4 linked regions of the Tamandua tetradactyla genome follow. The protein of the gene in region 3 interacts with the protein of the main gene of each other region in a pairwise test. Links are inferred from orthologs where the notes say so. Each region holds a gene or a part of one and is shown on either strand. Other genes may lie near its edges.

Region 1 (7,454 bases), on a different chromosome or scaffold from region 3:
GCGGGCAGCTCCAGTGAAGGTCTTCAACAAGCTCCTTAGGAGAGTCTGGCTGGCTCAAGCGGAAAGAGATTCTCTCTCTGAATTCTCTTCTAAAGACTTCAGGTGATTAGATTAATTGTCACTCGTTGCAGAAGACACTCCCCTTAGCCAACTACAGATGTACCAGCCATGGATGCAACCAACTTGCTCGTGGTTCAAGTCCATGAACGTCCTCCCAACCACAGACAGGCCAATGCTTGCTTGACCGAACAACAGGGTACCATCACCTGACCGAGACGGCACATGAACCTAATCATCACGATGAATAAACGGTTTTCCGTATAGGACCCTGCTTTAGTCTGCAAGCTGCCAGAACGCAATATACCAGAAATGGAACAGTTTTGTAAATGGGGAATTTAATAAGTTACAAGTTTATAGTTCTAAGGCCATGAAATAATCCAAATTAAGTCAAGGGAGAGTATCCAAATTAAGGCATCCAGGGAAAGATACCCTGGTTTAAGAAGGCTGATGATATTTCAAGTTTCTCTTTCAACTGGAAAGGCACATGGTGATGCCTGCTAGCTTTCTCTCCTGGCTTCTCCAACAGCTTCCCGGGAGCATTTTCTTTCCTCATATCCAACAGTCTCTGGCTGTGTGGGCTCTGTTGGTTCTGGCGGCTCTAAAGCTTTCTTCCAAAATGGTTCCCTCTTAAAGGGCTCCAGTAAGCAACCCCACCTTGAATAGGTGGAGACACATCTCCATGGAAACCATCTAATCAAAAGTTACCACCCACAATTGGGTGGGTCACATCTCCATGGAAACAGTCAAAAAAGACCCCACCCAGCATTACTGAATGAAGATTGAAGGACAAGGCTTTTCTGCAGTACACAACAGATTCAAATGGCACAGTCCCTTAGATTTAAATCAACAGCCATGGAAAGCAAAAGTCATTATCAGCCAAGAAATAAAGATATCTGTAAATAATCACGCATTTTCCTTACTGCTAGGACCCAACCTGCAAGTTTGTGAAAACTTTAAATTGTACCTACCACTTTTATTTTCCTGCAGGCATCCTAATTCCTGAACTAAAACATCTGATTTGCCAAGCCCTCCAGCAACAAAATGCCCGGCTGGGTTCAAGCCTTGACCTGGCCAGGTGCAGACGACAGCAGGAGGGGACTGTGTCCTGGAGCCCTCGGGCTGGTTTCTACCCACTTCCAGCTACCTCAGGAATTACACTCTCAGCCTCAATGTTCCCACCTGTTAAGTGACACTGGAGGCAGAAACGAGAAATAAACTAAAAATGTAGCTAAGGGATGGGGCACGAAGCCCAGGAGGCTGTCTGTGCCTCCACTGCACCTGCCCTCCAGGAGCACGTATGCACATATGCTGTGCCAGGGCGCCTGAGCAGGGCAAACGCTCCTGCCAGAAAAGTGAGTCAGCATCTAAAGCCACCTAGAGACAAGCCACCCCCAATTCACCTTCCACACTGCTGAGTATAAAAATTAGCTCGAAGGTGTTTGTGGTGAAGCAACAGGAAGCTGGAAAATAGTGCATATTAAGCAGCTCATGAGAAATGAGTCGCAAAATCTTAACAAAAAAACAAGAATGGACATTTGGAAAGAGCTTGCATGTGGCTGTAGGGCTTTCAGGCCAACAGCGAGATGGAAAGAAACTGAGCCACAGACCCCTTCCTTCCGAGTCCTCCACCCACACCCACTTTAAGGTGCCCGTACCCTTGGCACAGGAAAAGGACTTGTTGCCCTCCCAGCCACAACACAACGCTTCAGAAGTGACCGATCTGGCCGACTGCCAAGCAAAGGGGAGAGAGTGCGAGGCGGTAGCAGTCCAGCCCCCAGCAACCCCCAGCAACGTGCTCCCCATGCTGGGCTCCACACCCCCCACCCCACGCAGGAGCAGTCCACAAAGTACTCTGTGGTCTCGGGGCCCTACCCAGCAAGGTCTGCTCAGAGCAGACACTAATGGCCACCAGCAGCCCCCACAGGGAAAGAGAGGTTCTTTCCTTAGGATGATATTTGCTTGAATTCACTGTATCTTTCCAAGTGATTGTTCTTCCTGGAAATCGGTAAACTAAAGAAAAATGCTTACATTCTAATAACCCTAACTGCCCAGAGACCTCCTCTGGGCGAGGCACAGTCAGCAGTCCCTTGTCCTCGCATCGGCACGGTACAGGAAAATGACCGTCCCCACGTCGACACCGCAGAAATGAACAAGGACAAGGAGCGACTCCATGAAGGTCAGACCAGCAGGTCCTCAGGGCCAGACACACACCCATCCTGGGCAGGGCCGCAGTCCTTCAAAGGATTTATCAATCTCTCTAGCTGAGCTGGTAAATTAAAAACACAAAAGCACATTAAATATTATATGGCACACACGCCATTCAGAAATCTTGTGGAAAAAACTGACATAAAGTATATACAAGCAATGAACGTATATTTAATTCAACTCCCTGCTACTTCCCACTGGCTGCAGCTCGCCCACACCATCAGCTGAATACCCTCCCCAGGCGCACGGCCGGGGGACGGGCCGCACGTCTGGAGGGCAGGGCGGCGGCTGCCACTGTCCTTGTTCACTGGGCGTCAGGACGCCACCCCCAGCACTGTCGCACGGCGGAGCTGGGGAGAGACACAGTTCCTTCCCACAGGTTTCCTTCTTATCACGCACAGATGTCTTCCAGGTAAATAAAATGCCATTTTATTTCGTTTAAACTCATTTACTCAATACGCATTATCAGGACCCGAGTAGGATCCCCTTAGGGTTGAGAACCCAGGAGGACAGAGGCCAGGCCCGCGGAGGGCACACACAGGGGCACGGCGGCCTCGCACCTGCATTCAAACTCCAGAGATGACCACCCAGACTCGGCATCCCCACCGGAACCAGTCCGGGCCAATCTCCTGCACAAACGTCTCCAGAAACTAGTGTCATGAGGTGGTCCAGAGGTCCCCCCATCACCCTCAGTAGGCTGCAGGGTCCCTTGCCTTTCCCATCCCGCTAGGGAGAGACACCAGACTCACCGTCCCAAGACCACAGCTGGGAGACACCAGCTAACTCCTAGCGGCTCCTCCTCACCCAGCCCGCTGCCCACGGCCAGGGCGACACTCTCCTGCACCCTACCCCCACTTCATGGCCCTGCTCTCACCTACAGACACCCTAGTGCAGGCTCCTGCAAGGTAGAAATGTGCATGCGAGGTATCTGCATCATTACCATGTATCGCAAGAATGCCACAGCACACCCTCCTCCCGCCAACAGAACCAACTCCCCTGGGTCCTCTGAATAGCTGGTGCACAATCTGTAGAAATCACTCTTGTGTATTTGTTTTATACAATATGGATATACTGTACAAATCACAACTCCCCCAAATCAAGATGAACTAAACCTTACCACTGTTTCTTTTATGATCGCTGTTATACACCACAAACCTGAATGTCTAAAAATACAGCGATTACCCTGTGGAGTGTTCTATTTTCATCTTCTAAAAATGGAGCTACCGACAGCAGAAGCAATCTGCTGTTAGATGTCAACCACGCTTCACGCCATTGGCAGGATGTGCATGTCTGCCCTTCTAGACTGTTCAGCTGTGGTCTCGCCACGATGGAGCCCGAGGCACCTGGAGAGGCAGCACCGAGGCTCTGCCGGGGGCCAGGGGGCCTGGGAGCCAGGTGCCCTCTAGAGGCCCCTCTACGTCCCCAAATGACCTAATGCAGCAGGGGCCTCATTTCCCACATCTCTAGGACAGGGGGGCTCCTACTGCCCCCCTCTCGGGGCAGAGTTCCAACGGGCCCCCATGGAGGCCCCTGGCTGACGCTGGGCACGCAGCAGGGGCTGACAAGCTGCATCGCCGGGCGCCACGGGAGGCAAAGCTCTGCCACGCAGTGTCTGAGTGTGCAGCACGGCCAGCTTGGCTGCCAGAGAAGCATCTCCCAGATCTGAGAGGGACATGAAAGCGGGAGAGCAGCAGCACGGAGGAAAGAGCAGAGCAGCGAAGAAGCTTCCACCCCAGAGTGCGGATGACGGCGTATCCTGCTGAATCTCCTTGCCAAAGACAGATGGGGCTGCGTCCATCCTTCTCCAGAGGACTGGGTCTTGTCTTAATGCCAATCTAGAAAGCAGCAGACTATACCCAAAGACCCATACATTAAAAATATGGTTTTCTGAAACAGCTTTCTCTAATTTTTGCAAGTCTCCTCACTATGAGAACAGAAATATCAAAAATTGTAGACTGAAATCCCTAGCTCATCTAAACCATGCTCTACTTTTTGTAATGGAGTTAATTTTTGATTCTCAGTGTAGAAGTAACAGAGCCACCTCTCCCCCGACCGGCTCGCACGCGCCCTCACGATCCAGCTCGACCTCAAGGGGCACACCACCAGGCAATGCTCCCTCCCCCAGGACCCGCGACACAGCGCCCTGGGCCCTGGGCACCCAGCCGGCTGTGCTCCTGCACCCCACTTCCCCAGGTCGCCTCCTGCACACAGGCCCCGCAGAGAGGAGCTGCAGCGCCACAAAAGGGGCTTCCAACGCACAGGTCACCCACTTCCTGGACAGCACTGATCTCGCGGCATGGCTTCCTCCTCTCATAAGCTACTGCAATCCTTCAGCAGCTCGGAACAGATTCGTTTCCTATAATTCCATCCACAACCAAGACGCTAAAACATGTACCACTACAAAGGATTGCCAATAACACGCAAAATCAACGGGCAAGGGGAAACTGTAGAAATCACACCAAAACAGAACAGAGACGCAGCTTTCTTCACCTGAAACCAATCCACAGGGCTGTCCACCTCTGGACGGATGGCACCTGCGACGTGGGACCCACAGGCCCTCTGTGGCCAAGGCGGGCGCTGTGCTGTGGCGGCTCACACTTAAGTGTCCACAACAGAAAGGAGAGCAAGCTTTTTTTTTTTTTTACTGCTTGAAAAAACATCTAGAAAGATTCACTACTCAAATTATTTGGCAAGTGTGTTATCTTTAGTTTTGCTTTCACTTTTTTATAATGCAGTTTTATTGAGATACATCATATATTCAGATGCCATATAATCACCCACACTGTACAATCAGTGGCTCACAGTATCATCGTATAGGTCGACTGCTGAATAGACTTTCACTTTTTAAAAAATTTTTATTAATAAAACCAATCAACACACAATATGAACATTCTTTTTTTATCACATAGTTGCACATTCATCATCATGATCATCTCTTAGAACATTTGCATCAATTCAGAAATAAATATAAAAAGAAAACAGAAAAAAAATTTATACATACCATACCCCTTGCCCCTCCCTTTCACTGATCATTAGCATTTCAATTTACTAAATTTATTTTAACATCTGTTCCCCCATTATTTATTTATTTTTAATCCATATGTTTTACTCATAAGGTAAATAAAAGAAGCATCAGACATAAGGTTTTCACAATCACACATTGCGAAAGCTGTATCATTATACAATCACCTTCAAGAAACATGGCTGCTCTACATTTTCAGGCAGTTCAAAGGGCAAGCTTTGAGCTCAACTGCAACTACAAGGAAAGAGGAGAGGGAGCACATCGGTGTCAGATGCGTGCTCCTCATACGGACAGTCTGAACTAAGAGGCACCTGCAGCCCAAGATCCAGTTTCATACATTAGAAGACACACATCCTACTGATGGCCAAACACCAAGTTAAGCAGTAGACAGAGCTAATTAGAACCTCAGGTTCCTGAAATCTGCTCAATGCCCCACACCTCCCACTCCAAGAATACAGAAATTATGATTAGAATACAGAATATAATCCCCACACCTCACTTTCCACACAGAGTTCAGCTCAAAAGAAAGAGAAGATTCTGGTTACCAATGGGTGCTCTAAGCAAGTTTGCTGAAGTCCAGCTGCCTATCTGGGATAGAGGCTTCAGAACAGAGGGCTGAAAGGACCTTACTGGGTAGCAGATGTTGCCTTGGGCACGCCATGGGCAGAGAGCTGAAACTGAGGACGATGCATCAGGACAGAGCTCTCCAAGGGCCATCCAATCTAGGAAAGGGGGACTGGAAACCCACCTGTTAGGCCAAGAAGGAGCTGTGAAGAACCTGCTGTGAGAAGCAGACTCCCCTACGACCATGCCTTTATGGAAGGAGCCTCCAAATTCATGTCCTATTCATGCAATCTCAGGTCTAGAAATTAAGAAATAAGACTAGGCCAGAACTTGGGAAACCTGGGGTCCACAGGAAAACAAAACAAAAAGGTTCTACAATCCAGGGCATCAATAATTCCAGGGCACATGAGACACCCAAAGAAGGAGGGAAAAAAGGGGAAAAGAGAAAACTTCCTCTTGAAGACAAATTTACAATAAAAATCTAAAATTACAAATGACACACAGTAACGAGGAGAGAATCAGCAAGCACAACAAAACAGAGAAAGGACTCCACAATATCCACAGAGAACAAAACAATATGGAAAAAACTAATACATGCATGTTTTTAAAAAGCAAGAAGTTATATGAAGGAAAAGCCTATAATGTAAGAAAGAAACCATGGAAAAAGAAATGGACTTTTTTTTTTTAATAACGAATTTTCTAAAATTGAAAAGTAGAGCCACTGGGCGGCCCACACAAGCTCAGCAGGCCATGGCAGAGACCTGGGTTCGATTCCCAGTGCCTACCCATGCAAAAATAAAAAAACATAGAGCCACTGAAAATAGCTGATTGGGCATAGCTAGAGACAGAACACTGAATTGGTAGATAGATCTGAATCACCAGAATACATTATAAAAAGGTAAGGAGGGCGGGCCATGGTGGCTCAGTGGCAAGATTTCACTTGCATGCCAGAGTGCCAGAGACCTGAGTTCGATTCCCAGGGCCTGCCCATGTAAAAAAAAAAAAAAAAAAAAAGGGTAAGGAGAAAAGCAGCTTGAGTAAAACAGTGTGATGGCCCAACAAATACCGAGCATGAACTCAAGGAGTAAAGAATGGAAATCATGGAAAAGAAGTACTATTCAAAGAGATAATGAATCAAGAATATTCCATAATTCCAGAAAGATAAGAGTTAGGTTTAAAAAGCATGCTACTGTATGGGCACTTGCTTTCTTATCTCTTCGTTACCTAGAAGTAGAACATTTAGATCACATGGGAGGTGTGCGTCTAACTTTTTAAGAAACTGATGAATGGTTTTCCAACGCAACTGTATCATTTTACAGTCTCGCCCACTGTACATGAAAGCTCCAGTTCTTTCACATCTTTGCCAACAATTGGTACAATTTTTTTTCCATTTTAGCCATTTCCTCAAGCCTAGGGTTTATATTCTCCTAAAAGTATTGATCCAAAAGCAGAGGCTTTAACTTTAAGCTCAACTTTTCACTTTGTCGTTTTATACACCAGGCATTTGTTAATGTATCTAAAAAAATCTTTGCCTAACATAGGAATAAATATTTGTGACCCTATTTCATTCTAGAAGATTCATACTTTAAAGTTTTACAGTTAG
Region 2 (7,756 bases), on a different chromosome or scaffold from region 3:
AACTTCCAGCAGTGTAAATCTCCCTGGCAACGTGGGACAAAAATCCTGGGATGAACCAGGACCTGGCGTCAAGGGATTGAGAAAGCCTTCTTAACCAAAATGGGAAGAGAGAAATGAGACAAAATAAAGTTTTAGTGGCTGAGAGAGTTTGGATTTGAGAGGTTATCCTGCAGGCTATTTTTTTCTTATTGATTAAAAAAAAATGAACAAACAAAACATTAAGATATCAATCCATTCTACATATACAATCAGTAATTCTTAATATCATCACATAGTTGCATATTCATCATTTCTTAGAACATTCGCATCGATTTAGAAAAAGAAATAAAAAGACAACAGAAAAAGAAATAAAACAATAGAGAAAAAAAGATTATACATACCATACCCCTTACCCCTCGCTTTCATTTAACACTAACATTTCAAACTAAATTTATTTTAACATTTGTTCCCCCTATTATTTATTTTTATTTCATATGTTCTACTCTTCTGCTGATATAGTAGCTAAAAGGAGCATCAGACACAAGGTTTTCACATTCACAGAGTCTCATTGTGAAAGCTATATCACTGTTCAATCATCATCAAGAAACATGGCTACTGGAACACAGCTCTACCTTTTCAGGCAGTTCTCTCCAGCCTCTCCACTACATCTTGAACAACAAGGTGATATCTACTTAATGCATAAGAATAACCTCCAGGATAACCTCTCGACTCTGTTTGGAATCTCTCAGCCACTGACATTTAGTATTATTTCACTCTTCCCCCTTTGGTCGAGAAGGTTCTCTCAATCCCTTGATGTTAATTCTCAGCTCATTCTAGGGTTTTTCTCAGTCCCTTGATGCTGAGTCTCCTACAGGCCATTTTTATACATTATATAGATATCCCCTTTTAAATTTATGGTGTATTGGAGTAGCTAGAGGGAAGCACCTGAAACTCTAGAGCTGTGTTCCAGTAGCCTTGATTCTTCTTTAAAAAAATATTTTTATTGTACACAACAAACAAACATACAAACATTCTTGACATACGAACATTCTATGAATGGTGTACGATCAATAGCTCACATTATCATCACACAGTTGTGTATTCATCACCATGATCATTTTTTGAACATTTGCATCACTCCAGAAAAAGAGAAAAAACCCTCATACGTTCCATCCCTGTCATTGACCACTGATATTTGCATCTAACCAATTTATTTTAACCTTTGTTCCTCCTATTATTTGTTTATTTTTTATCCACATTTTTTACTCATCTGTCCATACTGTAGATAAAAGGAGCATCAGACACAAGATTTTCACAATCAGTCACATTGTAAAAGCTATGTTGTTATATAATCATCTTCAAGAAACATGGCTACTAGAACATAGCTCTACAGTTTCAGGTACTTTCCTCTAGCCACTCCAGTACACCATAAACTAAAAAGGGATATCTATATAATGCCTAAGAATAATCTCCAGGATAACCTCTTAACTGCGTGAAATCTCTCAGCCACTGAGACTTTATTTTTTCTCACTTTTCTCTTCCCTCTTTTGGTCAAGAAGGTTTTATCAACCCGTGATGCTGGGTCCTGTCTCATCCCGGGATTTCTGTCCCACATGGCCAGGGAGATTTATACCCCTGGGAGTCATGTCCCATATAGTGGGTAAGGGCAGTGAGTTAGCTTGCCATGTCAACTTAGAGAGAGAGGCCACATCTGGGCAACAAAAGAGGTTCTCTGCGTGACTGTTAGACCTAATCTTAAGTAGGCTTAGCCTTTCCTTAGCAGGGATAAGTTTCATAGGGGCGAACCCCAAGATTGAGGGCTTGGCCTATTGATTTGGTTGTCCCCACTGCTTGCGAGAATATCAGAAATTCTCCAAATGGGGAACGTGAATATTTCCCCCTTTCTCCCCATTCCCCCAAGGGGGCTTAGCAAATACTTCTTTATTAACTGTCCAAATCACTTTGGTATTTATCAGGACATCACACTAATCTGGACAAGCCAACACAATCTCATGCCTTATTCAAGATTCCATGTACTTATGGTGTTCAACTAAACTGACCATGCAAGTTAAATTAGGAAATGCACACCCAAAATATAAATTTTGCACCAAATCATCATTTCTCACTTCAGTCTCACTCAGGGAGTTGAAATTTTTAAATCTGGATGATATCGTCCTTTACCCAGTCTTCTAATATTCCTTAGTCCTATCCAGATCAGTTTCATTCATATCTCTACTTGATGTCTAATCATTTTTTCAATTTTTTAAACAGTTCCTATATGGGGTAATGCTGACTTTCATAGCTTCAGAGCTCTAACTCTTAGTCTCAGCTGTCACATAAATACCTGAAATTTCTGGAAATGACCAGGTCATAAACAAACAGCTCAGTATCTCAGAATTTAAAATTAACAGTTACAACTCATGAATATATGTGACTGCTGTAAGAGCTTACAATGTAGGATCCTTTACAATAGGCCCCAACCTGATAACCCATGCTCCCGACTTCAGTTCACCAAGTTTTTACATTATAGTTAGTCCATATGAATGAGGCTTGACAATATTTGTTTTTTTGTTTCTGATATTTCATTCAACATACAGTCCTTAAGGTTCATTTACCTAGTTGCATGCCTAACAACTTCATTCCTTCTTGCCACTGCTCAGTAGTCTGTTGTATGTATACGCCATAGTTCCCCCTTCCATTCCTCAGTCGTTCTACCCTCTAGCCACCTGCATTCATTGTGGATCTGGAACACTGCTGCCATAAACACCAGTGTGCAAATGCCCATTTGTGTCCCCACTCTCAGTTTCTCCAGGTATATACTGAGTAACGGGGTTGCAGGATCATATGGAAACTCACCCCTAGCCTCCTATGGAACCACCACACTGCCCTCCAAGAGGCTGCACCTCTAGTTTCTCTACCAACAGTGAATAGGTACATCTCTTTCACCACATTTTCTCTAGCACTTATTTCTCTCTGTTCATTTTTAAACAGTTTTATTCACACATCATGCAATCCAACCTAAGTGTACAGACATACCTTTGCCACCATAATCTACATGAAGACATTTCCTTTTCTTCCACAAAAAATCCATACCCCCCCCCCCGTTGACATTTAGTTTTGGCATAATGTCTTCATTACATTGAGTGGAAGCATATTACAATGTTTTTATTGACTATAGACCCTAGCTTGCAGTGATTGTACATAAAGATATATCTTTTACAATGTGATGGTGGGATTGTGAAAACCTTGTGTCTGATGCTCCTTTTATCCAGGGTATGGAGAGATGAGTAAAAAAAATATGGATAATAAATAAATAAATAATAGGGGGACAAAGGGTAAAATAAATTGGGTAGATGAAAATACTAGTGGTCAATGAGAGGGAGAGGTAAGGGATATAGTGTGTATGAGTTTTTTCTCTCTTCTTTTTCTGGAGTAATGCAAATGTTCTAAAAAATGATCATGGTGATGAATACATAACTATGAATGACATCGTGAGCCATTGATTGTACAGCATGAATGGAGTGCATGTGTGTGAAGATTTCTCAATAAAAATATTTTAAAAAAATCATTGGAGGGTTTGGGGGACACATTTGGGGCCACTGGAGTATGATTTGGGGGTTCATTGGATAACTACAGCAACGTTGTTGATAGCTATTTGGACGTATAATTGGGGACTGTTGGAGAGTGGTTTGGAGTGAAGTTTAAGTCTGTGGACTGTGGTTTGGAGGTGCAGGGAGTGTTGGAGGCTGGTTTGAAGTGCAGTTGGGATCACACCTAAGAGTAGTTGGGAGTATTTGAGATAGTAATGGGGGCTGTTGGAAGGTAATTAAGAGAGGTCAATGGAGGGTGGTTTGGGGGTCCACGGAGCATGGTTTGGAGGTATCATAGGTTACTGTTGGATAGTGATTTGAATGGCAGGTGAGGGCCACACTGCAGATAGTTGAGTGTTTGGGGTGATGTTGGGGACTCTTGGTGAGTGACTTGGGGAGCAATGGATGGTAGTTTGGAGAGTACATGGGAGGTGGTTTTGGGGATAATGAAGCATGTTTTTGGGTGCATATATTGGGGATAGATGGGGGTAGTTTGGAACTACTGTTGGAGGTTAATGTTGGATGATTTCAGGGTTGATGGAGCATGGTTTGGGGGAACAACTTAGGTAGTGAGGGTAGTTTATGGGTGAAGCTTGGATGTCCATGGAGGGTAGATTGGAGGTACTGCTTGCGGGTCAATGGGGGGGGGGGCAATGAATGGTGGTTTGAGGCTGAAATTCAGAGGCAAATGGGTAGTGATTTGGGGGTTGATGGAGTGTGGTTTGGGGATTCATTGATAATTAATTCGGGTGCAATGTTGATGTCCATGGAGGACAATTTAGGGATATAGCTTGGGGTCAATATAGTGTGGTTTGGGCATAGCTTGGCGGTCACTGGAGGGTGGTTTGGGGGTGCATTTGGGGATGACATGGTGGGTAGTTGGGAGCGTTTTAGAAGTCTGTTATAGGGGCTGTTTGAGGGCAGGGTGACCTGGGGTTAGGGGCCCCAGTTTGGGCATTGAGGGGGCGTGGCCTCGGTGGGGGCGGGACCCGGGCCGGGAACGAGAGCGCTCCAGGGGCGCGCACTGTTAGGCCCTGTTCCTTAGCTGGCGCGGCTGCCCTCGAGAAGGCGCGTGCGCACGCGCTTCCAGCTCGTTCGCTCTGGGCGCTCCCAGGGCAGGAAAATTGAAGTCCGGAGCTCGCGCTTGCGCACTTGGGCCCCATCGCGGCTGTGGTCTTGCGCCCCGCCCCCTCCCCCTTCTTCCCGGGGCTCGCGCTCAGCGGCTGAGGCGGTGGTGCCGCCGAAGCCCACAGACTTAACTGAAGGGTGGCAAGCGGGGCTTCCCCACCCGCAGCGCGGAGTCTGGCGCCTCTCTCCCACCCTTCTCGCGTCCCCCGTCTGGCCCCCACGCCTAACGGTCTCGCGGCGGCACGCGGTCCACGGGCAGGGCGCGGAAGGGGAATAGGCGCGCGCCCGGGTAAGATCGGAGCTCGGCGAGGGAAGGGCGCACCCACTACCCCTCCCGGCTGACACGACCCCGCTGACGTCGCGGTGCGAGGACGCTCGGTGAGTCATAACCCGGTCCCGGGCGGCAGGGGAGGGACAGGGCGGGGTGAGGGCCTGGAAATACCGACGGTGGACGTACCTGGGCGCGCACCCCGCGACCTCTGACCTGGTGGCCTCACTCCTGACCCATGCCCTGACCTGGCTATTTCTTTTCCTAACCTCGAACTCGGCCACCCTTGGCCCCAGAACCCCAGCCCTGATCGCTGACCTAACCATGTTCTGGCCTGCTTTGATCATTTGTACCTGTTTTTTTTTTTTTTTTTTCCCCCTTAACCCTCTAGCACTGACCCCAAACCCCAGTTCTGTCCTTGGGATCCTGGGCCTGAACCCGGGTCTTTGTGTGACCCTGTCTCATCTCTGAAGCTCGTCTGGCCTTGTCCTGATGCCCAACATCCACCTCAGTTTCTGTTGTCTCTTCCCTAACCCCCTGTCCAGGTCTCTAACCCCCTCTGGGCATGTTCTACCCCCCTGACCTCAGTCTGCTTCTGCTGTATCCTGACTCCTGACCTCTGACTTCTGTGCTTTCTCCCCACCCTGTACCGTCCCCCTGGCCCCTCCCCTAATAGCTGGTTTACCACCTTTGGAATGTCTCCTGTCCTGTCAGTCCCTTCCCCCAATCCTGTCCTGATTTTCCCAGTCCTCTCTTGTTTCATCACCATCTTTACTCCTTTCCTCATTCTGCCCTGGTCTTTTCCTGTTCTTGACCTCCGTCCTGAACCTGCCCCTTTCCCTAGCCCCTTCTATGACCACTGTCTTCACCTGTCCCGCATCAAGTCTTCTGACTAAGGTTGTACACAGACCTGGAGCCCTGTCCTGGTGTTTTCTCCCCTTGTGATTTTTCTCTTACCCCTGTCCTGAACTTCATTCTATCCTATCCCCTGGCCAGTGTCCTTCTCATTCCCAGGCCTGCCTCCTGACCTCTGTCCTATGATGACTCTGATTCTGCCTTGTCCCCTACACACCTTCCTGTCCTGTCCCTATATCCTGTCACAACCCCGGACCCTATTATCTACCCCTTACTATGCCCCTCCACCCTGCTCCCTCCTTCCCATACCCTCTGAACCCAGAAGGGCAGGGATCCCATTATACCCTGCCCCTGAACTTGGGGATTCCTCGGTTCCTAGGACCTCTGAGGTATATCCCAGATGCTTCTCTTAGCAAGAGGGGGAATGGCATTCTCTCCCTGCCTCCCCCATGACCCACAGCTCCCTGAAACAAACAGCCTTGTAGGGCCAGTGTGGCTGATAGGGTTTTTTGTATGTGATTCCTCCCACCCCCACCCCCACCCCCACCCCAGTGATCTCACACAGAGCTTGCATTTTTCTCTCTGTTCCAGGAGGGCATGGAACTGTTCTTACGCCCCCTGCCCTCCCCAAGTGCAAAAGAACACCCTAAATTATTCAGTGGCTCTCTGGGAGTCTGCACGGTCCAGGTTATGTTTCCAGGCTTGCTAAGTTGGGGACTGCCCCACGTCAGAGGGGGTTGGTAAAAGATGAACCTGGGGTTATGTGTGTCTTCCTGGTCGTGTAACTGCTCAAGCCCTTGGTCTTGATTCTAGGTGTGTGTGCGATCCCTGCCTTACTGGCCTGAAAAAAAAAAAGTCCATTTTAAGTTACAGGCTTCCAGGCTTGGAGTGGGTAGGATTAGGGCAGGAATTTATCCCCCTCTCTTGGCAGTAAACAACAAAAATCTTCATGCTAAGTCCACCCCACCTCTGTGGGGCAGGTCTGGGACGGTGGGGCCGGGAGTTCACTGGATGTTAGAATCAGGCTGATGCAGAAGGAACAATACAACAGCAGCAACAATAGGATCCGTCACTGTCTGAATCTTCTGAATTCTGAGGATGGGTAGGGAGAATTTGGGGGGAATGTCTTATTCAATTATGTTTTTTTTCTGTGTTTCTCATAGAAAGTGGCGAGAGTTTGAAAAGTGAGGGATACCAGACCCAGCTCATTTATCTAAACCCATTAATAATAACAACACAAGCATCCCTCACTCTCCCAGACTATTTGGTACCTGAATTCTGAGAGGGAGAGTTCTGATAGTTCAGACATGAATGATGCCATGTTGTCTAAAGTATTTGAGTTTCCTCATTTTACCTGGTGAGTAGAGAGAGCTCAGATAATGAGGCTCTAACTCAAAAGTATATTCAAATCTATTCACTTTCCTGAATTCCGGTGACAAGAGTTGAAGAGTGAGAAGTACCGTGTTGTGTAAATATATTTCATTGCTGCCTTTTGCCTGGTGAGTAAGGAAGGTTCAGGGAGTGAGGGATAACAGCTCTTTCTCCAAAATATATGTAAATCCATTCGCTCCTGACTTGGGGTAGTGAGAGTTCAGAGCAAACAAGTTGTCTGAACATATTCAATTGCTGCTTTTTCGATAATTTAATAGGGAGAGGTCAGATAATGAGAGAAATCGGCTGTTTCAAATGTATCTGGCTTGGCCAGTAGGAAGGGTTCTGTGTCTGGGTAGCAAATATGGAGGGTTTGGAGGCTAAGGGATACTAGCTTTGTCCCAAGACTGTATCTGAATCCATTCAGTTTCTGATTTTGGTTAGTGAGAATTGGGACAAATTATCTGAGGGAAAACAGCTCTGTTTCACATTTATTGAGCTGAGGGATACTAGTTCTGTCTCAAAAATCGTATCTGGATGTATCTGTTTGGTTCCTAAGTTCTAC
Region 3 (7,877 bases):
GGCAGGACAAGCTGTTGACCTGTGACTTCTGCTAGCTGACAGCATGCTCAGGAAAGGCAAGGAAATGTAGACCCTGCAAACTGGAAATTCAGAACTTTTGCTATATGAATGTGAGTTTCTCCCTTGGGTTATGGAAGAGAGGACAGTATCTCCCTGGACTATCTCAGGGCCTGATTCATTTGTGACAAAACAGAAGCTGACTTTCCCTTGCGCACCAGATTCTCCTGGGCTTGGAGCTCAATCTCCAGAGAGCTTGCCGAGCGTTTCAGTTCCAGGATCTCCGTCTGGCAGCTCTGCAGCTGCTCTGCGCTGGACAGCTGCTGCTGATTCACCTCCTCCATCTGAAACACAGGGGTGATTAAAGAACACAAAGAAGGCAAGAGTCTGGAAGCCTGTCATTCTCCTGCTGCAGGTGCCCACCTGAGCAGCGAACCATTCTTCCACATCGCTGCGGTTGCTGGCGAGCACCACTTCATACTGACAGCGCATCTCATCCAGGGCCTTGCTGAGGTCAATGGCTGGGGCAGGTTCCAGCTCCACACTGAGTCGGTCACCAAGCTGTTCAGCAAGCAAGCTGACCTCCTGAAAGTGGAAATGGAGTCGAGAATGTCACCGCCTGATGGGGCGGGGGTGAGGAATCAGTTTGACAGAATTCTTTCCCAGTGGCAGCCCATTTCTGGTTTTTGGAGTTGTAGTTAAAATTGTGGGATTTAGTTTCAAATCGACTGGGTTGAATCTCTTCTCACCACTTAGAAGTCCCTTTTTATCTTCATCTGCAATATGGGTATAATAATTTTGTCTTTTCCAAAGTGTTAGTGTGAGATATGTGAGCGTTTACTATATATACAAAGAACTTATAAAAGCCCTGGCACATAGTAAGAGCTCAATAAATGTTAACTATTATTATCATCAGCAAATGTTCAGAGGTAAAATGTACTTTGTTGCATCAGTTTTTCATTTTCCAGCTTCATCAATAAGGGACAAATGCAGAACATTTGAAAATACCGATCCAAATATTGCATGAATCTTTATCCCCCTTTTTGAAATAGATTTCATTGCCTGTGTTCATCAACCTGATTTTTGTAGACTGGAGTTGGCATGAAGCCTCCAAGGAAAGCCATTTACAAAGTCATTTACTTCCTCCACAAAAAGCAATGGCAAGAGGAGAGTTTGGACCCTTCACATGGTACTGGCCAGGAGCTATTCCCTGTCCATATTCAGACACAAATTGGAATGATCAGGCTGAATAGCCATAGTGCCCTCAGGTAATTTTGTTCCAGCTTAAGCAACATCTACCCAAGTTCAACTTGAATACTTGAACATGAAATCTTAAACTTTGTTGTTCTCAGAGTCTTTCAGCCACCTTGCCAGTTTCCTCACCTCTTCGTGGTTTTTCTTAAGGCAAAGGAGATCATCCTTCAGGGACTCCACCTGCACCTCCAGGTCAGATTTGCACAGGGTCAGCTCGTCCAGGATCCTACGTAGGCCACCGATGTCTGTCTCTTCCAGCTGGTGAAGAGACAGTTCAGCCTCGTACCTTTCATAACAAAAGACGGACACATCCAATGCTTACTCTGCCAGGTGCTGTGCAAGCCCTGTGGGCGTACAGGTGAATGACACGTGAACTCAAGGGAGCCACATGCTGTCATTTACTTCATATCCCAAATAACTATAAATTACAGGTTTGTGAGCATTAGTAGCTTAAAAATATTTGTGCTAAATGTGTGTGTGTGTGAGAGAGGGAGAGACAGAGAAACCATAAATAATTTTCAAATTCAAATTAAACTTACTTTGACCTAAAGTCATCGGCAGCTAGTTTGCAGTTGTCAAGCTGTACGGCAAGTCTGGAATTCTCTGCCTTTGTGCACAAGATCTGGGAAGTAAGTTATTATGTAATAAATGATTATTTGCATGAAACTTAACCATTCATTTAAAATCAATGAAATTATGTATCTTTTAACAATCTGTTTAAGACAGTATAGCTTTCAATTAACTATTCATTTAAAATCAATGCAATTATGTATCTTTTAACAATCTCTTTAAGACAGCATAGCTTTCAATTTATTGCTTTTCTCTATATATGTTATTTTTCACAATAAAAATAATGTTAAAAAAAAGAAAGTATAGCTTTCAGCCTGCTTTTCTGATGAACTATGTCACTCACGACTATATACCCATCCATGGTAATAGAAATTTATCAGTAAGAGAAGAAAAAGGCTACCAGGTGAAATCGTTTGATTAAAAAGATGACAGTGAAGATTCTGTTTAAATATAAATATACAGTGTTAAATACAGAAGTAGTTTTAGACATACTACAGTTTTTTCTCATTTTATAGAAGATAACAGTTAAGCTTACAGCTAAGTGACTATATTATGGTCACTTAATTAATTAGTGGCAGTGCTGGGGCTAGTGCTGAGGTTTCCTGACTCTTTGCCCAGAGATCTTTCCACGTTAGCTCTTGGAATTTCCCTCTCCTTTGATTTCCTTTCATCAAACAGCCTCTTCTAGACTGAAGATGAAGCAAATCACTGGGAGGGCAGAGGAATTAGGGCAGCAAAACACCAAACCTTTTGCTGGAGATCTTCAATGGTGTTGAAGTAACGCTGATAATCAGGACACACCAGTGGGATTTCCTGGTCACACTGCTCTCGGATCCTGCCCTCCAGCTCTGCATTGGCCTCTTCCAGGCCGTGCACCTTCTCCAGATAGCTGGCGAGCCTGTCATTCAGGAACTGCATCGTCTCCTTCTCATTGCTATTGAAGACCCCATCCTCACACCAAGCACAGGTCCCCACCAAGCATGGACTGTTACGACTCCCAGCAAAGTAATATGGCTTGAAGCAATGGGTTGGCAGGTGAGACCTGGACTGGAAGCCAGGGGTCTCGCATCTGGAGGTGGAGTAGACCTTGGGGAGACAAGCTGTTTCCACGGAGCAGGTTGAAACAGATGGAAAATCAGAAGCCCTAGGACAGGGTTCAGTAGAGCAGCAAGTGGGGGCATGGTCAGAAGTCATCCTAGTAGAGATGAAGAACAGACAGTATTTGCAAAACCCAAGTGACCTGACTCCAGAAGTCTCCTTCCTTTCTGAGACTTTTATATGTCCCCCACAAAATGGGTATTTACAGGTCTCACCAGATGTTTTCTTTATCACTGTTTGTGCTAGTTTTCCTAAGAACATTTCATTAGTCTTGTTTATTTACTGAGGAAGAGTTTTATGCCTCATAAAAGAAGGTTAACTTCAGGTTACTAAATCAGAACTTATACTGTTTCCATGTGCTAGTAGGATAAAATACTTGGTTGCAGAAAATCTGCACAGGAGCACTATCCTTTTGACAGAATAAGGAAAGAAAGAAAATTTGGCCAATTTGTAACTGATTTAAATAAGGAAAATATTCCAATGGATTTTGATCATGTTCATTTAAAATTTGTTTCTCTCTTAAAATTAATATTGCAACTCATTAAATGCCATTTATTTGTTTGTGCCACCAATATTAAAATATTCATTGTGATTAGCCATTTTTGTAATGCTTTTTGCAATCTTGAATTGGCATACGTGCTTGCATGGTAGAGAAGTGAGGCATGCACTTGTGTGAAGTGTGTATGTGTACGTGTGTGTGTGTGTGTGTGTTAACCATATCGCTCTCTGTGAAAATTGAAAGATCACATTGCCTAATTGTTAGGCATAATTTGTGCCCTGTAGGCCAAAATATAAATTGATTATCTGGAACTGAAGTTATAAATCTTGATTTGTTGGAACTTGCCTTTTCTGTACATTCTATATGTCTCATTTTTTAGATCAGGGGAACTATTATTATTATTATTTTACCTTGGAAATACCTGTAGGTTACTTAGGCACTTCTGATAAGAGTGAAATATAAATTCTAAGTTACTATCTTTTAGGTGCTTGGGAAATCTTCAATGATTGCGCTTAGAATATGGGCAAGAAAGCTACAGGAAACGTTTCTTCTGATATGGAATCTGCTTTCTCTTATTTATTTTTTTCAAAGGCCTCAATTTAATGAAAATTAAAAATACTGGAACTTGGGAATAAAAATTTTATGTTGTCGGTTTCATGATGAATCCCTCGTGGATGGAGTCTCTAAGGGATAGGGACTTGAGATATAACTTTTTTTGATTCTCTTTTTAATCTCACCTCCACTTTGAAGCTTTATCTATCCCACTTTGCTTGGCTTTAACTGCGGTATTTCTTTCATTTTCAGAGGTAACACAGAGCAAATTGCCTCCAGAATCTTTGAGATCCTTACAAGAAAAAAGCCTTATAAGAAAAAAAAAATTCATAATCCAGGACAAATTCATTTTTTTCTAACTCTAAATCTTGCTTCCTAGATATCTGATGATGCAAAAACAAAAACAAAACAAAAACAGGAGACTGTGAATAATGGATTTAAATAGTCTGTTAGGACTTACTCTTCATCGAACAAAGTTGTATTTGATTTTAGTGATTCTCTTTACATTTCAACACCTATGCAAACATTCTTAGAGTACCTCATAATATTTTTTAGTGCAATTTTATTGAGATATATTTACACACTGTAGAAACCATCTGAAGTATTCAATCACTGGCTTACGATATAATCACATAGTTGGGCATACATCCCCATGATCAAATTTAGAACATTTTCATTACTACTAGAAAAGAAATAAAAATAAAAAAGAAAATTCTTATATACCTCATAATATTTTGATGCTGTTCTGAAAATGAGATGAGTTAAAAAATTCAAGACCTTATTAGAGCAGAAAAAGTTCTGGTCTGGATAATTCACAATCTGTGATCTGGATAATTCACAATCTGTGATGGTTGTGCATGTACTTAATGTCATGGAATTGTATACTTTAAAATGGTAGATGTTATGTTTATTTTGCCACAATACAAATGTAGGTGTTAATAAAGTTACATATATGAAACAAAAAACATGATCTGAAGAAAAATTACAAACCCATAGTACTCTGATGAGTCAGAAGAGAAATATCCTGGAAGAGAATCTAGGACTTGCTTGTCCATCAGTGTATCCAGTTAATTAAAATGCAGCAATGTGTCATTATTTTCAAGTCGCAGGTAAAGTAAGACATTTCCTTTTGTCTCAACGTAATTTCTATTTGCAAAATGTTGATTACTGTTATTGTATATAAACACCAAGAAGGGCTGTTTATTTTGGCTTTGATTAGTTAATGCAGTGTTGTGTGATGGCCTGTAGCTATCATTCTTAGCTTACAAGGAAATTGCCCAGAATTGTTTTTATAGTATATCATCCTCAGAGGAAGGGACATTGGGAATGGAGAAAAATAAATAGATGTCATGGCAAGTCATGATAAAAACACAATTATTTTGATTTGTAAAATGCTCTTACCCCAGAACATTCACCTACTGCTGCCTGAATATCTGAAATGCAAGTTTATTTTTGTGACTCTCCATTTATGATGTTGAAACTTCATATCATGGCGTATATAATCTTCCTCAAACTGGCTCATTTCTTGATACTCCTTCTCACTAACCCCAAACTCCAGCCACACCTCTATATTTTGCAGGTTTTTACTTTGACTAATACTCTTCCACCATTCCTGTCCTGGATGAACTCCTGCATCAGGATTCAGCTAAAGTGGCACCCAGCTGCCTCACATTGAGATAGGGCTCTAACCACAGCAATGTGTCCTTGCTTCCATTATAGCAGCTGTCACATTGCATTGCAATTTTAAAATTATTTCAATGTTTACTGGTCTTATTTGACAATGCCCCATTAAAACTTCATAGCCCCAGTGCATGGGGCCTAATAAAATAGGTTCTTAATAAATGTTTGCTAAAAATATATCCCCTGCTCTTAGTAGAAGTTATTGTCTTGGTACACGATTCCTGTGAAAATAATTTAACACTGAAGGCCAAGGAAAATTGGTGGAGGAGTCCTATCCTAAGGGTTCATAATCATTAGATTCTTATTCCAACATTGTTACTTATTAGCTATACAGTCTTTATCTAGTCACGAGACCCCACTGGGACTCAGTCTACTGTAAAATGAGAAAAATGTTACCTGTGCCATTTATTGCACAAACTTGTCAGGAAATGAACAATACGAATGTCTATCACTTTTTCAAAAGTAAAATATAATGCCAATGAAGGGTCTCCAATTGATGAATCTTACTCGCCAGTAATTCCATAATTGTGGGGACACGTTCTTTTTGTTCCTCCAACTTTTGGTTTTCTTGAGATCAATGTGCAGGTTTGACAGATTTATATACCCAGCCATCACACCAGAATGTGCCCTTATGCCCCTTTTCCACTCAGTTCCACCTCCTATAAGCAACCACTATTCTAATTCCTGTTAGCGTGGATGAGTATATCCTATTCATGAATTTTATGCGTGGAATCACATAGTGTGCATTCTTCTTTGTCTGGTTTCTTCTGCTTGACATTATGCTTTTAATTCATCCACATTGTCATTTGTATCAGTATTACTTCATCCTTTTTATTTTCTTAATCAGTGAGGAGTATTTCATTATATGGATATACCACAATTTGGTTATCCATTCTCCTCTGAATGAACATTTGAATTGCTTTTATTTGGGGACTCTTATGAATAAAATTGCTATAGATATTCTGATCCAAATCTTTTAGTGGATATATGTTTTTGCTTCTCTTGGGTAAGTAACATTAGAGTAGAATTGCTGAGTCATAGTGTAAGTGCATGGTCTCTCTCATAAGAAACAGCCTGGACTTTTTTCCCAAAGCGGTTATATATTCTCACAATAATGTGTGAGAGATCTAGTTGTTCCATATCCTCACCAACATTTGGTGTTGTGAAATTTTATACATTTTATACACTTTAGTGGGTGTGAAATGTTATTTCATTGTGGTTTAATTTATATTTCCTTGATAACTAATGATGGGGAGCATCTTTTCATGTGCTTATTGGCCATTTGGATATTTTCTTTTGTGAAGCAACTATTCAAGCTGGTTCTTTATTTAAAAAAAATCTTTTTACCACTGATTTGTAGGAATTCATTTTATATTCTGGGTACCTGGCCTCTGTCAGCTATATGAATTGCAAATATTTTTTCCCTGCCAGTCACTTGCCTTTTTATTTTTGTAATGATGCCTTTTGATGCACATGAACTTTTAATCTTTTTTTTTTTTTCAATTTTTTTTTTTCATGGGCAGGCACCAGGAATCGAACCCGGGTCCTCTGGCATGGCAGGCGAGCATTCTTGCCTGCTGAGCCACCGTGGCCCACCCTGAGCTTTTAATCTTGATAAACTCCTGTTTGTAATATCTCCTGGTTAGGGCTTTTTGTGCCCTCTCTAAGAAATATTTGTGTACTCCGAGGTGACTTCTAAGCTTATAGACTGCTATCCTAAATTTTTACTACAGAAATGTGTAATCTTAAGTTTTACATTTAGGACTAGGAACCATTTTCATTAATATTCCTGTGTGTGTATGATATGAGATGAGGTCGAGGCTCATTTATTTCACTCCTTTATCCTGCTGCTCCAGCCCCATTTGTTGAAAAGACTTTCTGCCTTCATGGATTGGAGAGACACATTCATTGAAACTCAACAACTGTGCATGTGTTTGTCTGTTTCCGGGCTTACTATTCTCTTCTAATCCTGTTTGTCTATCCTTTGCCATTATCATTTGTCTTAGTTAACCTAGATTTACGACCTTGATATCAGGAAGTGAGAACCCTCAACTTTCTTTTCTTTTTTCAAGATTGTTTTAGCCCTTTGCACTTCCATAGAATTTTAGACTTAGTTGGTCAATGTCTACAAAAAAAAACCCTGCTGAAATTTTGATTATGACCACATGAATATATTTTGAGGATGATTGCTATCTAAATAACAGAGCCTTCCAGAAAATGAGCATGG
Region 4 (7,371 bases), on a different chromosome or scaffold from region 3:
CTGCGGAATCCTTTCACTGAGGACTCCGGGAGCTCGGGGATCCGGCTTGCGTTGGCATCAGAACCGACCGGTAACCCGGGCGGCTCCAGGCACGGCGCGCTGGGGGAGAAAAGGGGGAATTTGCGCGGCGTTCCCTCCAGTGCACGGCGGTTCCCGGGACCCCAAAACGAGTCAGAGAACAGAACTCCAACCGCAGATGGAGGGGTTGGTCATATATATAAATATATGTATATATAAAAGATCGAGTTCATTGTCAAACAAGCTGAGGAAGACGGGAGTGGGCTAGGACAAAAGATCCCTACCTTGCTCTTTTTATTAAATTTTTAATTTAAAGAAAGAGAAAACAAAAAACTGGGAATTCTACAGTGAAGCTCGTGGCTGGTAACCATCCTAAGCGCCTGCTGGGTGGCCCGAGGTGGGCAGATTCTAAGAGCTGAAATTGGTGGGGAAGGAGCCGCAGATGTCCGGCCGTTTGTTCTGGGCGTTGGGATCCGGGCGCAGGTCCTCGGGCGAGGACCTAGCGGAGCGCCTGTTCCTCCCGGGAGGCGGGCTGTCGAGAGGTCGGGCCACTCCTGATCAAGGGCCTCTGCGGCCCAGAGCCCTGGCCCTTGACAGATCGCAGCGCTTCAGCGTGTTTATTCAGATGTCTGTGGCCTCAGGGTGACGCTGGAGCGCGGCCCCGGCGTGCGCGCTGGTCCCTGGGGCCCCTGCGGCCCAACTCCGCGCTCCGCTGTCGGTGCCGGTTGAAAAAACCGGTCCCGGGGGTCGAGAGACCTCAGTGCCGCTTCCCCCCAGCCGCGATTTTTTGATCTTGCGATAATTACATGCACCTTCCAGGCGGGGATGCGCTTTACTCTTGTACCAAAGCCGCACAGGTTTCCAGCATCTTTCCTTTCCTCCTCACTCCTTTCTTTACCCCCACCCTAGAGAGGCAAAGGGGTCGTGGCAAAGCCTCGAGGGAGACCCGAGTTTCAGCTCGGTTCTTCCATAAACTGCCATGTATCCTTGTATTATATGCTAACAAAAATTGCAAAGTTTTTTCAGCTCTCAGGCCAACACCATTCTCTTATCTAATCCTCAACTCCTATCTAATCCTCACTAGGGTCCCATGAGCTCGTCTGACCCATAAGGAAACCGAGTCTCTGAAAGGCTAAGGAACTCGTCTAGGTTCACAGCCCTTGTTAAAGTAGGTTCACAGCCCTTGTTAAAGTGGCGGAGCCGAGATTTCATTTTCTGGCCCCCAATTCCTTGTTCGTAACCACTGCGCCCCGCAGTTCGCCTTTCCTCCCCTGCCGGGGCCTCGTTTCTTTCTCTGTAGAAAGGGAGCTGAATCTCTAGGTCTGACTTTTGGTGATTTAGACTGGTATTCCTTTGGCCATGAGTCTCGGCGCTGACGATGTGGGAAGGGGGGTGAAAGAGGGGAGCCACCAGCTCTCTGCAGCCTTCATTTCCCTGAGACCTTGGGCCGGCCTCGAACTGCAGGAGGAGCAGGAGAGCGCCTGCCGGCCGGGGCCCGCCGAGGATGCGGCCTCCTCCTGCTGAGGCTCTGGGCCTCTTGGCCCAACTCGGGGTGCCGAGAACAGGGTGGCCGGTGCGTCGGCCTGGGTAACCATTCGGCTCCCGCAGAGTACGTAGCCAGGAGAGGGAGGAGAGGAGGGGAAGGGGGTATGGGGCCCTTGAGACACGGGGGTCTGCGGGTGCCATCCAGGACACCGTGCCAGAGCGCAATGTGTGTGTATATGTGTGTGTTGGGGGGGGATGCCTCAGAGGTCTCGGTACAGGTCCCGGGGCCCTCAACGGCGGGGTGTCTGATTTGCAGCACTTACCTCTCTGCCGGGTCAGTTGGAGGGAACTCCTCTCACCGCTCTGCACCGCAAGACTCGGAGAGGGGGCACCAGGGGGTTGTAATGGGAATCGCACCACTATGCTAACCCACCACAGGGCATTTCAGGAAACCAGTGGTGGAGCAGTGAGCGAGTCTCAAATTTGTCGGTCTGCCCTTTCCTCCCACCTCCGCACCCGCTTCCCCGGGCAAACCTTTTTTTTTTTTATTTTTTAACTTAAAAGCAGAGATGTAAGCGCATTTGTCCTTCGTGGGATCCCAAACCACAAAGACTCACATTTCAACCAGTCCCTCCAAATATCCTCCCCCAAGACAAAACTTGCAAAAGACTGCTAAAAAAAGAATTTCATTCTTTTCGTTTAGAAATGGAAATCTCTGGCTTTTCGGAAAGGAACCCCTTTGCTTCGTAGCGCCTGAGTCCTAGTTAAGAAAAACGAGTTCCAAGTAGAAATAGAAGAGAGGTGGGGGCTGGGGCGCTCTAGGGCTACTTGCCTGAGACAAGTTCTCTCCGGGGGTCTTTTTCCATCACAAAGACCAAACGCACTTGCCCTCTGCCCAGCCCTAGAGCTCTGCAACAGGTTCAGGGATGGGGCGTGCAGGAGAGCAGTCGACTCTCTCCATAGAGTGCAGGGGAAAGAAAAAGAAACCTGAATCAAGAGCCTCTTCCATTTCTTTAAATAATAATAATGTTTCTGCGTGGAGATGTGGCAAAGTCAAGCACCGTAAGTAGCGCAGGGAGGTGTCCACGACCGCGAAGGTGGCTGAGGGAGCAGCGGGCAGCGCATGCTCCCAATCTTTGCCCTCAGGGTCTCCTGACAGGCGATCCCAAAAGTTGGGAATTGCGGACAGCGCGGACGTCCTAAACCCGCACACGCTGGGTGCCCGCAGCCGGAACTCACAGCGACTGCGTTTAGCGAGTGCAAATTAAAACCAAAGCTTACGAAATGGAGAGTAAGTAAAGCTTTATCAACGCGTAGTGTCTTCGTGAAACTGCATCTACCTTGATGCTTCACGGGACCCTGGCTGGAAAGCTGCGGGCCTCATCCCCGGCTCGCCCGGTGCCCAGGACCCAGGGCAACCCGCCGCCTCCCGCCCTGGGCGCCTTGCCGTCCCAGTTTGAGCCCTTTGGGCCACCAGGCGCCGCTGGGCGTTTCCCGCGCCCCTGAAATGCACATCACTCGGGAGTCCCGGCGCTTCTCCTCATCTATGGGCCTTCCGCCTTATCCTCGATAGATCCTGTGGGGCGCGGAGCCAGGCGGAGAGAGGAGAGGATTTGGCTGGGGTCCACTCGGGGAGCTCCCAGCCGACACTGCCTCGCGGCGTGGGCCGAAGGACGCGCTCCCTACCCGGCTCCTCCAGCCGCCTTTCTGGGCTGCGCTTCCCCGCGGACCGCTGCGCGCCGAGGGTGGTACCCCCGCCGGGGAGCAAGGCAGAGCTTGGCACGAGCGGCGCCAGGAGCCCCTCTCTCTCCATCTCCACCTCCGACAGGGTGCTAGGATGCTCCGGCAGGCTCCGGGCCTTTCCCCAAGGGTATTCTTACCCCCTCGCCCCCCAAACTAGCCACTGTTTCTCCCGAGCTTCACCGTGGAAGAATCAGATACTCTGCACTAGGAAGGGCGATTAACGTGGCTGACACGGATTTTTAGATAGGTAGGAACCCCCTTCCTCTAGGTACAAACCTCATCAGGTAGCCAGTTACCAGACAACTACCAACTACCATGCCTGGCTTATTACAACAGATGCAACTTCTCGAGGCCACCAATCTGGGGCACGTTCGTCTCGAATCCCGGGCCTCCGGAATCCACAAAGGGCCTATACCAACCCCCCCAACCTCCGCACCCCATGACCCCCAAATTATGGCCACCACTCTAGCCTGTCGGCTCTGGAAGCAGGAACCGGATTCCTAGGCGCAGAGAAAGGGCATCTGCGATTTATAAGTCCAGGCAAGTTTTCTGTGCTTAACCCAAGTTCCCGCCCTAGCCGAGGCTACCTGCCCCTCCCTCCAGCCCGCCCTCTCAGGTTAACACCCCCATCCCCACCCCTTCGCACTTGAGTGCAAAGTGGACACGAACTCTCACCTGGAGGGACTCACCAGTGCCTCGAGGCATCCACACTCGCGAAATCTTAAAGAGGGGGCGGGGGGGATGCACCCCACAAGCTAGCTGAGTGCGTGTGGCGGGTGGAAGGAGAGGAGGGTGCCTCTGAGAGAGACGGCCCCTCAGGCCCGCCTCCAACCCCCGCTGCGAGGGCGCCCCCCCCCCCCCAAGGAGCGGCGCGCGCTGCCTAGCCCGGCTGGGGCTGCGGTGTGAATGGAGCGGCGGAGACTCCTGGCTCCTCCTCCGCCGCCGCCGGCCCCTCTTATTTGAGCTTTGGGAAGCTGGGGGCAGCCAGGCAGCTGGGGTAAGGAGTTCAAGGCAGCACCCACACCCGGGGGCTCTCCGCAACCCGACTGTCTGCTCCCCCCTTTTCCCTTCCCGCCCTCCCTCCCACCCACCTTTCAGAGCCGGGACGCCAGTCCCAGCGGCCAGGCCCCGCTGCTCCTCTCCGCGATCCTGGACTTCCTCCCGCCGCGGGAGCCGGCTTCCACGTGTGCCCCGGAGCCCGCATCCCGGCACGCGCTCGGGATCCGGGTGCCTTCAGCAGCTGGAGCAGCCGGGGACACGCGGCTCGGGCTGCGGCATCTGGGCCAAGTTCACCGCGGCCGCGTCGAGCACAGAGCGTGGGCAGGACCGGAGGAGCCGCGGGGCGCCCGGGACTGAGCCGCAGCAAATGGGCTCCGACGTGCGGGACCTGAATGCGTTGCTGCCAGCGGTCCCTTCGCTGGGTACCGGCGGCGGCTGCGCCCTGCCTGTGAGCGGCGCCGCGCAGTGGGCGCCGGTGCTGGACTTCGCGCCCCCGGGCGCCTCGGCTTACGGTTCGCTGGGCGGTCCCGCGCCGCCGCCGGCTCCTCCGCCGCCGCCGCCGCCGCCTCACTCCTTCATCAAACAGGAGCCGACCTGGGGCGGCGCGGAGCCGCACGAGGAGCAGTGCTTGAGCGCCTTCACCGTCCATTTCTCCGGCCAATTCACCGGCACAGCCGGAGCCTGTCGCTACGGACCCTTCGGTCCTCCTCCGCCCAGCCAGGCGTCGTCCGGGCAGGGCAGGATGTTCCCCAACGCGCCCTACCTGCCCAGCTGCCTCGAGAGCCAGCCCGCTATTCGCAACCAGGGTAAGTAGCCCGGGGAGCGCCCCCTACACGCGGGGCGGTGGCGCCGGGGCTCTCACGGAGTGCAGGCTCTTCTTTCTCGTGCCTCTTCTCTCCCTGATCTTAGCTTTTACTCGGCTGTCCGGCCAAGGTCTAGGAAGCAGCGGCCGGGAAGACGAGGCGATGCCCTGAGAAGGGACCATACGCCGGCATCGGCTTCCGACGCTTTCCACCTCCCGACGCCTTCCACCTCCGGGAAGGGCGGGAATCGGACTGTTCGCATGAGCCGGGAGGTCCTCGCCCCTAAAGCTCCATGAGACTCCCGGATTTCGAGTTCCTTCGGGAGTGGGGAAGGGGGAACCGTTGCAGTCTCAAGCTCTGCCTCGGGAAGAGGATTTTGTTGTCCAGGGAACCACCAAATTGTCACTAGGCACTGGGCATCGTAGACGTCCAGACGGGGGTTTCGGAGTGGGTCTCCTACAGCATGAGCTGCCTACGCTACGCTGGGATGTCCAGACTTTACAGCGCAATATGATATTGCACACAGTAGGAACACAAGTACCAAGTTGGGGGGGGAGGGTAAGTAAATGAACGGGCTAGCAACTAAATAGTGATTTTCCTGAAACTGTGTCCGAGTCCACTTACGGTTCCAGGATATGGAAGTGTAGAACTGGGGCTCTCCTGAATTCCTGCCCAGGCGCGCGTGGGGGCAGTCTCCTGGGATGGGAAAAAAACAGTTTATCCGATTCTGTGCTATATAGGGGGCCGGGTTCTACCCGAAGCAGTGGTATGAAGCCTGAACATGGGCCTGCCTTTCAGCGCGGCTTGGAAATCCCCTCCTGGCTTACACGCGGGGCTCAGGGGAAAGAATTTTGCAGGGTCTGGGAGTAGACAAGGACAGGTTTATTTGCGGTGTTCAGGAAAAGTACAACGAGAGACATGAACCATTGTTTTCTCCTATCACTCTGGCGCCTGCACTTCTCTCCTTTCTGGCGGCCAGAGCGGAACCAAGCGGTTCCGGAATCTCAAGCCCCTATAGTTTGGTCCCTAAATTTATTTTAATTGAATTTCGTTGAGATCTTTTAAGCCAATTCGGTTTGACTTGCTGTCTTAGGAAATGTTTTGCTAACACAGTGATGGGGAACTTTTCCTGAAGCAAAACTTCTCACGGGCCTAGGAACTAAGATTTTTCTGGAACGCCTGGGCTGGTTGGGACGGAGTATGTATGGTTTGCAAGAGGTGCTGGGGCGCCCGGGCTCGGAAGAAGGGCTCTGTGCACCTGGCCGACCGAGGCCCAGGCGAAACCGAAACCATCCTCCCCTTTTCCACCCGGCAAGAACCTGGGGCCTAGCCAAGGAGTTCTTAACTCTTGGGCCTTCAGAAATAAAGTGTTTTGTACTTAAGGGAATTGGAACAGCTTAGTGCCCATTGATCGCAGAATGCTGCATGGTCTGGAGGCTCCTGTTTTCGGATCGTGTCACTTCTAATTGGCAGGCTGGTGTTTCGTTTGGCGATTTCTCCAGGTCCCAGTTTGCGGAGCTGTAAGAGGAGGGCCGAGATGGGCGACCTGGAGGTCGGTCCAGCCTGAAATTCTGCATTGGAGAAGCGGAAATGCAACTTATCAAGGGTTCTGGGTTCTAAATACTGAACTCGCCAGCCCACCTAAACATGACTGGGCCAGAAATAGTGCAACTGGCCAGTATGTGGTTGCCTGCTGGTTAGAGAGGCCTAAGAAGCCATTTATGTTCCTGGGGCCCAAAATCTACTGCATCATTATCTTTGATTTGAGTCCATCTAGATTGGGCAGGGGCTTATGGAACCTGGGCTTGGTGGCTTGGCTTTGAGTCCAACGTTCTGCAGGGCAGACATGTCTGGTGCTCGGGGTCCGGACACCTATGCCAGGCTGTAGGTGTTGCAGCCAGCCAGGACTACACTGAGGGAAAAATGCCAATTCTTCTTCAGTAAACAGACCAAGTTGCCCCAGAGAAAAAGAAAGTTGGGGGCAAGAGAGCCAGAAAGGAGGTGTGGACGAACTCCTACCCCAGGGAAAGGCCAAAGGGGAACCTACTACCCCAAACACGGGCAGTAGTTGAGAGGCGAGCTGTGGCCTCTGGTCTTGGCTTTCTCCCACAATAGTAACATTAATGGGTTGAATATGCCCAGCCCTTGGAGTTCACTCAGTTGAGCTGGGGTGTGGGATGTAAGAAGCCGCTGCAGCCCCAACATGGGCAACCAGGACAGGCTCTCGAGGTCCCTGAATTCCGGGTTTATTCTTTTGATTTCTGGGGTTCCTTCGGCTCCCCCAGGAATATATGGCCAGGCCAAACCTCCTGGAGTTCAGGAT

What was found.
Region 1: the proteins of KRT40 (region 3) and HDAC4 interact in binary tests that used the Homo sapiens proteins (3 or more experiments, as listed by UniProt). The two-hybrid records come from large-scale screens. The link is inferred for Tamandua tetradactyla from reciprocal best matches to the Homo sapiens genes KRT40 and HDAC4.
Region 2: the proteins of KRT40 (region 3) and CCDC120 interact in binary tests that used the Homo sapiens proteins (3 or more experiments, as listed by UniProt). The link is inferred for Tamandua tetradactyla from reciprocal best matches to the Homo sapiens genes KRT40 and CCDC120.
Region 4: the proteins of KRT40 (region 3) and WT1 interact in binary tests that used the Homo sapiens proteins (3 or more experiments, as listed by UniProt). The two-hybrid records come from large-scale screens. The link is inferred for Tamandua tetradactyla from reciprocal best matches to the Homo sapiens genes KRT40 and WT1.

What each region holds. Positions count from the first base shown.
Region 1 is NC_135329.1:216,321,063-216,328,516, forward strand, and holds the start of HDAC4 (histone deacetylase 4), read right to left. Parts: upstream 3,004-7,454; 5' UTR 2,276-3,003; coding exon 2,089-2,275; intron 1-2,088. UniProt on the Homo sapiens protein: Responsible for the deacetylation of lysine residues on the N-terminal part of the core histones (H2A, H2B, H3 and H4).
Region 2 is NC_135353.1:121,100,634-121,108,389, reverse strand, and holds the start of CCDC120 (coiled-coil domain-containing protein 120), read left to right. Parts: upstream 1-4,750; 5' UTR 4,751-5,075; intron 5,076-6,403; exon of another isoform or gene 6,404-7,756. UniProt on the Homo sapiens protein: Centriolar protein required for centriole subdistal appendage assembly and microtubule anchoring in interphase cells. Together with CCDC68, cooperate with subdistal appendage components ODF2, NIN and CEP170 for hierarchical subdistal appendage assembly.
Region 3 is NC_135332.1:26,431,570-26,439,446, reverse strand, and holds the start of KRT40 (keratin, type I cytoskeletal 40), read right to left. Parts: upstream 3,016-7,877; coding exon 2,569-3,015; intron 1,874-2,568; coding exon 1,791-1,873; intron 1,538-1,790; coding exon 1,381-1,537; intron 583-1,380; coding exon 421-582; intron 342-420; coding exon 216-341; intron 1-215. UniProt on the Homo sapiens protein: May play a role in late hair differentiation.
Region 4 is NC_135334.1:108,436,746-108,444,116, reverse strand, and holds the start of WT1 (Wilms tumor protein), read left to right. Parts: upstream 1-4,354; 5' UTR 4,355-4,612; coding exon 4,613-5,051; intron 5,052-7,371. UniProt on the Homo sapiens protein: Transcription factor that plays an important role in cellular development and cell survival. Recognizes and binds to the DNA sequence 5'-GCG(T/G)GGGCG-3'. Regulates the expression of numerous target genes, including EPO.